2 linked regions of the Caenorhabditis elegans genome follow. The gene in region 1 interacts genetically with each later gene. Each region holds a gene or a part of one and is shown on either strand. Other genes may lie near its edges.

What was found. A genetic interaction does not mean that the proteins touch.
Region 2: of osr-1 (region 1) and spn-4, a change in one rescues a mutant of the other (synthetic rescue), as found in Caenorhabditis elegans (one study listed by BioGRID).

Annotation. Positions count from the first base shown.
Region 1 is NC_003279.8:5,199,759-5,205,513, forward strand, and holds osr-1 (TPR_REGION domain-containing protein), read right to left. Parts: upstream 3,747-5,755; 5' UTR 3,649-3,746; coding exon 3,603-3,648; intron 3,414-3,602; coding exon 3,096-3,413; intron 3,044-3,095; coding exon 2,925-3,043; intron 2,796-2,924; coding exon 2,388-2,795; intron 1,882-2,387; coding exon 1,800-1,881; intron 1,745-1,799; coding exon 1,113-1,744; intron 1,067-1,112; coding exon 955-1,066; intron 809-954; coding exon 594-808; 3' UTR 501-593; downstream 1-500. Other genes in the region: putative 3',5'-cyclic phosphodiesterase pde-5, read left to right, coding at 109-197, 245-344; Transcription factor sem-2, read right to left, coding at 5,551-5,755.
Region 2 is NC_003283.11:6,782,417-6,786,851, reverse strand, and holds spn-4 (RRM domain-containing protein), read left to right. Parts: upstream 1-1,948; 5' UTR 1,949-1,949; coding exon 1,950-1,999; intron 2,000-2,046; coding exon 2,047-2,151; intron 2,152-2,197; coding exon 2,198-2,260; intron 2,261-2,308; coding exon 2,309-3,024; intron 3,025-3,077; coding exon 3,078-3,199; 3' UTR 3,200-3,665; downstream 3,666-4,435. Other genes in the region: spe-39 (Spermatogenesis-defective protein 39), read right to left, coding at 1-221, 277-413, 464-625, 677-884, 931-1,091, 1,257-1,361; ZC404.15 (uncharacterized protein), read right to left, coding at 3,724-3,899, 3,991-4,173.

The DNA.
Region 1 (5,755 bases):
ACTACATAAAATTAAGTTCAGATGAGTTTAAAAATTAAACAGAATATCAGCATTTTCAATTATTTGTGGAAGTTGTATCAATCAATTGGTAAAGAAACATTTTTCCAGGTCGGCTTCATGCGTGGGATCTGTATGCCCTGCTACGACTTAATCGCGCGAATATTCCCGAAAAACGATAAAATGAGAGAACGCTGCGAGTAAGTTGCAAATTTATCAGCATCTCTCAAAAATTTAATTTTCACAGATACAACGCCAAAAAATGGGAAGAGCTAGCCGAGGAGCAACGGAAGAAACAAGAGGCTCTTGCTCAACAAAATGGCGAAGCTAATGAAACTCAAGAATAATACAATACTGAAATTTCACATATTTCATTAATATCAATTATTTGTAATATATTATCACTATGTTGTCATAATGTTTTACTTGTATTTCTTATCACGATCTCATTATCAATATCAATAAAAATAAATATAATGAGATATGGAGTATCTCAATTATTAAAATTATTTTACTAACCAGTTTATTAGCTTCAATTTATTACAGTTATTAAATTTTGTTATTATTATTATTATTACTAATTGGAATGTATGTATCTACAATCCCAGTGCAGGCATATCAAATGCTCCATTTCCTCCAACGAATCGTTTGGTTTTTGAGTTCATTTTGAACCCAACTTCATCTCCAGGATTCCAGTTATTCGGGATTTTGAACATGGTATCCCACTCGTCACGGGCTCGCCCCTGAGTCGAGAAAGCCGTGTTCAAGGCTGGCATAGTTGGATCAAGAGATGGGAGAATGAAGCGACTTCCTATAAGAAAAGGATTGGCGTTTTTTCTCTCTGTTTTGACTCATCAATTTCTGTTGTCGGCACGTAACATAGTTCTTCGTACACATTCTATGTTTTCACTGACATTGCAGAAAAACCAAGACAAAAACATTTTAATCAATACCTACCAAGTCCTGGAATTTCTTTTTCATTTGCTCCAGTCCATCTCAATCTCGTATGCCTTCCTTTTGGTTCAAAGAACAATGGAGGAATGGGACGTTCTTCAATATCTTGGAATACCTGAAATAAATATTTAAATTGCCAAAATAAATTAATCTCATTATACCTTTGCATCAATCATTTCAGCTTTTGCAGTTGGTGCACCGAACAGTCTTGGTAATGCACGAATTGTTTTGACACGTGTTCTACCTTTCTGTTCATCAGTTAACATTTGCCTTCCTTTCAATGTATTCTCTAATTTATCATCCATGAACAATGCAGCAAGACTTGGATTATTCTTCAAATTTGTCAAAACTCTTGATTCTTTTGCAATTTTCCATTCGGTACTTGGATGTCTTCGTATTTCCTCTTGAACTTTTGGATCAGATCCAATTAATAATGGAAGCATTTTACGTGGTCTTGTTGGGATTTTACGTGGAGCAAAGTAGCCAGGCTGAGGTTTTGGATTGAATTCCATCGGCTTTGGAGCAAGATACTTTTCCACGTCATCAACTCGATATTTAATTCTGTCCAATGCACTTTTCAATTCATCATTTGACTTTAATTTCTCAACGAATCCGGAAGAAAGACGAAGTGGTGCACGACGGAATGAATTTTCAGATGGATCAATCAAATTTTCATCTTCTTCGTCTTCATCATCATCAGACTCTCCAAAACCATGGAGACCGAGCACAAGTTGAGATTTTTGATCTAGTTTTGCACGAGCCTCCATTGCGCGGAATGCACTTTCATCCTCATCTGAAATTTAGTCGACAGATAAGAGTTCCTACTAATTCAAAAAACAAAAACCAACCGTTCATAGCCAAAGGCCTTCGCTTGCTCAGTGGAGAATCCCTCATTCGTTGGTAAGAGAGCAATGATTGAACTTCCGCATTCTGAAAGTATTAGGTATTTTTTCAAAGCGACCACACAGGCACAAAATGTCCTACTAGGCTTACGACTGTCATTGTTAGTTATTTTCCAAGATACACGTGATTTTTTCTCAATTCGCGATCTCCACAAAAATTTTTCGAAATATTTTATGGTGGTTTAACATCTTACAAACAAAATAGGAGACTTTAGCTAAATCGCATCCTATTATATTAAATTTTCAAAATGACAAAAAACTTTTTTAGAAGTTTCCGAAAAAATATAGACTTAAAAATAGTAAGATTCGGCAATTTTTTTGATAATTGCTGCAGAAGTATTACCGACTGTTGAAAGTTATCAATATCGGCGATTCTCAACACCTATGTATGATTGTTGTATTTGTAAAATTATATTTACAGATATGCTCTAAATACATATAAAAAGACTTAATACTTTTATATAAAGCTTAAATATTTTGGATTTTTTTTCCTTTCTAAAAAAATTTAAAACAGTTGAGAAATTACTAATTCACCTGTAAAAGCTCTTTTAATCTAGGACTACTTTTCAATCTCCTGGCTAAATCTCTTCTCTGATGCTCTGCTTCACTTTGTGGTTCTCCATCCGAACTTCTTCTTCTGGGTACATCCTCGTCCTCAAGATCATCATCATCTTCATCTTCCTCTTGAAGTTCTCTTTGTTGCATTCTTTGGTCCACTCGATTCATCATCATCCGTTGTTCTTCACCTCTTCCACCGGCAACTGGGGCATTTTTACCTAACATTGCTCTTTGAGCAAGAGCTTGTTGGAACACTGACGATGGAGCAGCTTGAGCTTTTCTCATTTGTTGAGGCATTTTAAAGGGGTTCTTGCCAGCGATCATATTTGCAACGAGTCCTGGGAGAATTTGTGTTTGAAATTTGTCCATTACGGCTTTGGCAATCTAAATTAGAAACATTGTTAGTTATAAAATTAAGAAAATCATTCTGCAAACAATAATTAAAAACCCAAACAAATGGGAAAAGGGAGTTTCTCTAATATTTTTTAAAACTGCAATTGAATTCACACCAACCTGTTCGGACGGATCCGTATTTTCCATATCTCTCTGCGTTCGGATAGCATCTTCTAATCCACGAATACTGCTACCAATTGGGATTCCATTTCCATTCAACATATCGATAAATGCATTTCCTGAAATTCAAATTTGTTTTCAGAACAGTTACTGAAAAAGTAAAATGAAAACCTGATTTAGGCTGTAATTTTGCCATCTCCGCCTGTTGCATAACTGCATCAGCTGCCAAATCATCAACTTTTAGCTTTTTGTACTTATCGAATTGATCAGGATGTACTTTCTCTAGAACTTCTAATTGAGTCTTAAATGCTCCTTTTGCCATTTCCATTTGACCTTTTTTGATGAGAGCATCAACAAATTGAACACCCATCAGTTCAAGAGCTTCCATTGATGGAGCCAGTGGTAGTTTTTGATGGCTTTTACCTACGAGAGATGACAACAAAGCTCCCGGAGCATCGGAAGTCGATGGAGATTGGGCCGATAATGGTGCTGGAAATTTTCTAAATATTTTCCCTTTTTTCAATTTTTCCTCATAAATCATCACTTAAAAAAATGTTAGGATATCACAAAAAGTTCAGCCAAAGTATTTGATAAATTGCCAAATTTTTTAAAGTTTCTGATTTTTTTTGAAACATAAATTTAACAATGTAATCTCTAAATATTGAATTTAAAACTAACCGATACAAAATCCTAACAACAGGAATAAAAATAAAAATAAAATCATTTTCGAATCTTTTACGAAAGTGAAATAAATAAAATGAAAATGCGAAAGAGAAAATCTTTTGAAAGGGAGAAGTCGTGGAACTGGATGAAAACAAGAATGAATTGATAAGAATGGCTAACGACGAGAATATCACCTTCTGACATAGGTGAACCTTCGGATGAAACTTGTTTCTTGGGTGGGAGAGGAAGGATTTGTTACATCAGCATAGCTTTCATGGATCATCAATGCGTTTCGATTTGTTTTTAAGGGTTTGTTTTTTTAATTCATGTAATCAGGATGTTTATACAGTATTGACTCTGTTGGTCTTGCTTGCAATTCGATCATTATGTAGGAGTGCTACTGAATCCCTTTCCCGACTTAAAAAACAACTCGGTTCGTCTTTTTTTTTGCAATTCAAACAAAAAAAACGGTCGTGCGCCGGTCGCGTGTTCGAGATGCCAATCTTAGAATTTACCCGGTTCGTTTGACGACCGTTAACGTCGTTGGAGGTCGGTGTGATTTAGTAATTTAGAAGAACTTTTTGAAGATTTTGAGTTGCGATAAATTGGGGAAAAGAACTTTCGAAATGTCGGAAATTGATGTCCAATATTTGGAACGAAAGATAAAATAAAGAAAAAAAGAGAAAAAGAAACATGCCGACAAGTTGAGGTTGTGAAGGACGGATGATAGAATGCACTATTTATTTGAAGGTTGTTTTTTTTTCAAAGCTGTTGGAGCCAAAAACAGGGTGTGACTTTTTAAAGCAGGTTTCAGAAAAGTGCCAAAATTCCGAGAATGACATTGCAAAAAAAAACAAGAGGTTCCAGAAAAGCGGCTTCCCGACTGCTCGGTTATTGCAGTATTCACGGAGCAATTGTTCTACCAGCACAAAAATTGATTTCAGGCCAGGATTGAACTGTTATGTTAAATTGTAATATGTCATACATATTTTACGAGACTGTTTACGAGACATTATTTAGGGAAGTTTTTTCAATTTGTGTCACACACTTGCCGCAGCTGCCAATAACTAATTAATAGTAGAAAATTGCTAGGTATTTACCTGAATTTTAATTTACAGAACAGAAAAAATTAATTAAACGTATATTATTTCCACAAATCTATGTATTTTGAAATCAAAAACAAGTTAATTTTTTAAATGATTTTTATTGCTCAGAAAAAGGAGACAAACATAAATCAATCAATAATAAATGAAATCAAGAGGAAGAAATTCATTCAATACTGAAAATTTGGAAAGATGAGTGAAAAAGGATAAGAGATATTTAGAGATGAACAAGAGAATAAATATTTCTTCAGGTTTGGGAAAAAGGGTAGCTACATTTGGCATATTGTAGAGGGCAGGGGATGGGGGGAAGTGTTCAACATATACAATCATAATTTCGTGCTTGAAATCTCAGAAATTTTTTTTTTCAAGTACAACGGCGAATTGGGTAATCGATGAAAGTTGAAAGAACGAATGAAAACTGGCTCGGTAAAGCTGGGAGAGGATAAAAATGGGTAAAGAAATGGGGACGATACTTTTGTAGAAGAATACTTTCAATTTGAAATTAGTGAATTACTTTTTGGATTTGTAGAAATACTCTTAGGGTTTCAAGAAATGAAAGAATACAATCGCTTGGATTTGTTGAGGAAATACTGGAAAACAAAGAGAAAAATACAGAAAAAGGTGGTAAATAACTAGAAAATGCTGGGGATTAAAAGGTACTAAGACCGGACTAAAGGGACACTCGAAAATTGTTGGAGAGAGATAAAGAGAGAATTGTTTCAGGGGAGAGGCTAGAATTGAGGTAGGAGCAGAAAATGTTGGGCTTTCAGAAGAAACAGTGAAAAAAAACATTTGGACGTAGCGATCTACTTACTACCCGAACTTTCAGAAGTTTTCAAAAAAAAACTTGTCTGAAATATTCAAGAAAAATTAATATCAATTCCCAATGCATCGCTCCATGGATAATTGACCAGCTCGCCTGTGGTTACAGTTGGACAAATCTGCTCCAGGTCATCCAAATGTGTTGTAGTCGTAGCGGCCGTAGCCATTGTGACGACTCCCGCCGAGTTTGGTGATGACGTTGATTGTTCAGAAGCACTACAGTCGGCGTATCCCGAAGATCCA
Region 2 (4,435 bases), on another chromosome or scaffold:
GTTCTCCTTTATCTCCAGCATCCATTTTCTCCATTTGCAATTGGATTTCATAGTTTCTCATCAACGCTTCCATTTGTCGGGCTTCAAATTTCATTTCAGGAATTGAGAAGCTACCATGAAGCATGGTTCGGAGCAACGGGACTCGCTTGTCTGGATTTCGTTTGTATTTTCGCGTAGCTTCGAATTCAATGACAGATGCATGTTGATACTGACCAATGCTACTATAAAATGGGGAAATTGATTTCAACAAATTTTAATTTAGTTTTTATTAAATACCGTAAAAACTTGTTCATCTTGTCCCACTCGCCGGTGATCTGAAGATGTCGTGTGTAAACTCGGCATGCACTTTTCTGGCCATCCATTATTTTGCAGAATATGTTTTCCTTGAGAGTTCTCTCTAGAAAAATCACAATCTGTAAAGAAAGATAACTTTTTAAAAAATTAGTATCATAGCTGTTCGGACCTTGAAAATTGTATTATTGTCGTACGTGGCAACTGCTTGCTTCAAAAGTTGTGTCTTATCACGTAATGACCTATAGTAATCCAGTGTTACAGTATGCCCTTGAAGCATTCTCTTGATACTAGCCTCGATTGTAAGCGGCTGAAACCGTTCGTGGCGAAGAACCTAGAATCATAATTATCTTCAAAATTCTATATTAAAACTTTAATAGCTAACTTCGTGCTGATCTTTAAGTTTCCGATGTTCTTGTCTCAATCGATTATAATCCAAATCAAGACGTTGTGCTTCACTTGGTAAACTACTTGCACTTGCTTCAGAAACCACAGATGGAGCGGTCTGAATAACTGGCGCCACGTTAACGTTCTCAGCGAATTTCATGTTCAAGAAATCATCTACAATCTTGCCAGAAGCCCGAGGAGAGGTACTGCAAATTACTTATTTATATTCATAAAACAATGTAATTAACTTACTCTGTTATTCGAATATTCGCCTTGTCTGACACAGCAGCAGCTCTTCCGTCAATTTGCAGTGGAACATTTGTGGGAGTTGGCGTTGGGTTCTGCGGTCGGACGTACGGCTTCGGAGTCTCATCGCCACCGAAGAGATTGTCGACGGCTGCTCGAGCTTGAAGCTTTAATTTTCGTGTTAAACACATTGATTTGAGCAATATAATAATTAAGAAACGTGTTAATTTACTTTTTTTTCAATTTTTTAAAAGTAAAACATCTGGTCACGTTTATAGTTTTAAAAGATTTTTTTCGTTTTTTCTTAATATAATAACTACGTTAAAACTTACTTGTTTTGATTGTAAATCATCAAACAATCCGGATGAATTCGAGTCAGATTCATTCCAATAACTGTCTTCCGGAAGTTCAAAAGTGAATTTCCTTCGAAGGGCCATTCTTTATAATATTATCATTTCTTTTGCAAAGTATCTGAAAGAAACTATAAGAATGAGAAAAAATAGATAAAATTTTATGGGAAAATGGGAAAAGAATTCAATAAAAAATAAATGCAGAGAAAAAAAACGCAATTGACATGAAACGAGAAAAAGAGAAGAAAGGCAACTGCGTGCACGCTCCTTGCAAAAACTGCGTGCCAGGATTGCGAAGGCGGGGCTTATGAATGAAGCGCGAGTTTGAATCAAATAAAATTATTTTTTGCTCTTGGCCTAAAGAAAATCGAATTAAAGCTTTAGTTTCTAGTAATTCGTAAAATAATTTTTTTAATCGAAAATAGAACACAAAATTGTCTAGTTATATTAACTTTTAGACCTGATCCGACGTTCGTATGAACTAGAAATCTAGAAGATCACAAAGGCGCGAAATTTTGATTTTAGATTTTTCTGTAACTCGGTGGCGGGAAAATGTGAAATTATATTTTCAATCGTTTTATCATCATTTGGAATCATTTCTGCACTTGTCTTCTGTTGTCTTGTCTTTTCTTTACCCAGTTCCTCATTTTTCTTTATTCAACTTTTTTTTTCAGAATGCAAAACACACAGATATTTACTAACTTCGCTCACAGAGCACATGATGGGTATGTTTATCATTTTTAAATGTTGGTATTAAGTATTTCTTTTTCAGATTACCGTTTAACAGTGCGAATCCTTCCAACAAAGATCCAATTTTCACAATGCCAATATCGGTCAAACCGAAAACTCGTGAGCCGGCTTCTTTCACAGATAACAGGTAAATTTGTCGTGCCGTTTTAATGAATTCATCAAAAAACTTTTAGGATATATGTCAGCAATATTCCCTTCTCGTTTCGTGAACAAGATTTGGCGGCAATGTTCTTCGCGTGAGTTTTCAATTTACAACAAGTTCTGAATAAGAATATTAATTTCAGATATGGAAGAGTCCTGAGTGTGGAAATCGTCACAAATGATCGTGGATCCAAAGGGTTCGGGTTTGTCACACTCGATTCCATCGAATCCTGTGAGAAAGCTCGTGCTGCGCTTCACGAATCACATGTTCAAGGAAGAATTATAGAAGTGAGAAGAGCGACACCAACCCGCAGAAAGCTTATCAACAATCCACAAAATGAAGTTTTGCCACCACCAAAGCTGTGTGTCGATCTTCGAGCCCCTCATAATTTATGGAGAGCTGAGCCAATGCATCAGTTGTTCAAGGAAAAGGAGAACACAACATGTTTTCCCGAAGCTGGATTCATGATGGCACCATACCGTAGCAATGGAATTTTCAACACGCGTAGTCTTGTGCAGACCAAACCACCTCGATGCACCAAGCACAGCGAGCTCAAGCTTTCTTCAGCTGGTGAATACTTCTGCAAAAACGGCGAGCCTACGACGGAAACAAGTATTCTGATGTGCATGCACAGACAAAACTCACCATGCAGCAATAAGTGTTCTGATTCTTCGAATCACGAGCTGTCTGATGTGGAGTTGAACTCTATATTCCCACATCATCTTCGTGACCAGATTACTGCTCTTCTCGACACTTCAAACCATTTTGGATCAGGAAATAATAGTGCTAACAAAGGAAAGAGAGCACCATCTGTGACATCTTCTGGATTGAGATCATCAGAGAGCGAGACAGTTTCAGGTAAATAGTTTAGATTCTAGATTGTCGATTTTCATTTAAAAATCAAATTTTAGACGAAGAGATTCATTGGTCCCCACATAACAGCCCTGATTATCTTCTCGCTGCTCTCTACGAAGGTTCCACATCGTTCCACGGAAAGTCTGTTTCTCCACCAAAAGAATCGTCAAGCCAGTAATCAGTTCAACTGATACGCCCATTTTATTTCTACTAACTGCGTGTTTTGCATTTTATCGAACACCCCTAAACTTTCACTTAACCAAAAAGCTTTAACAAATTTTTTACGGAATCTTCTTGTACAGCGACACTCGTTGTCCTTGTCAAATGATTCGTTGCTAGTTTTTCTTCCCTGTAGCTTCTATATCGACCCCCCCGGTGTTATTTTGTAGGAATGCGTTTCAGCATCTTCCCTATTTTGCCATCTCTCACATACACTCAACATTAGCAATCGGAAAACAGATCTTCTATATTGAAAATATACTACCAGTCCGTTTAACCTACCTCGCTTGCTAACATTATTGAATGTGCCCACGTATTGTATTTTCTGAGCATCTTTCTGTTTTTTTTGTATTTTATAGACGCTGTGTTCGCCAGTTATTTTTGCATTCCTGTATTGCTCGAAGTCAAATGAAGTGCTTCGCCATATTCAATTGTTTTATTTTCAAAATCACCCGTTAATACTAGATTTCAGTTTGAATTTAATCACAGTTGTGAAAGATCATTATCCCGGCGTGTCATTGAGAGATCAAATGTTATCTTTCGGCACCTCTTGGCCTTCCTCCATTCATGATCAGAAGATTCACTCTCTTCTAAAATGACGTCGTGAGAGACTGCGGGAAGAGAAAAGGACGATGGCTGTCGGCACTTTGTGGATGCTGCTGGAAAAGTTTGGTGAATTTTGAAGTTTTGTGGTTTTTGATGATAACTTCAAAATGGATGGGAAAACACGAGAGAGAGAGAGAAACTTACGGATTTGAAGAGTGGGTGGAGAGGAAGGGTACAAACTGCTTCGCTCCTCATCATTTCCTGTGCCACGTCGACTTCGATTTTGACGACTTGAAAGTGTTGCGAAGAAGGACATTCGACGGGATTTCGATCGTCGACAACCACCGCTTACCCAACAAAATAGGCACGAAACAGGAATGAAGATACCTGAAATAAATATGCATTATTAGGCAAACTTGGAATTTTCATAGTTTTTTCCTATAGATTTTGATTTTCTCTAAAATTCCCCAGCGCCTATATTACAGGAACACTATTTACATTTTGAGAATGCGAATTGCACAACATCTGACGCGCAAAATATCTCGTAGCGAAAACTACAGTAATTTTTTAAATGACTACTGTAGTGCTCGTGTCGATTTACGGGCTCAATTTTCGAAAATATTTTCTCGAACTTTGGCAGCGATTATCA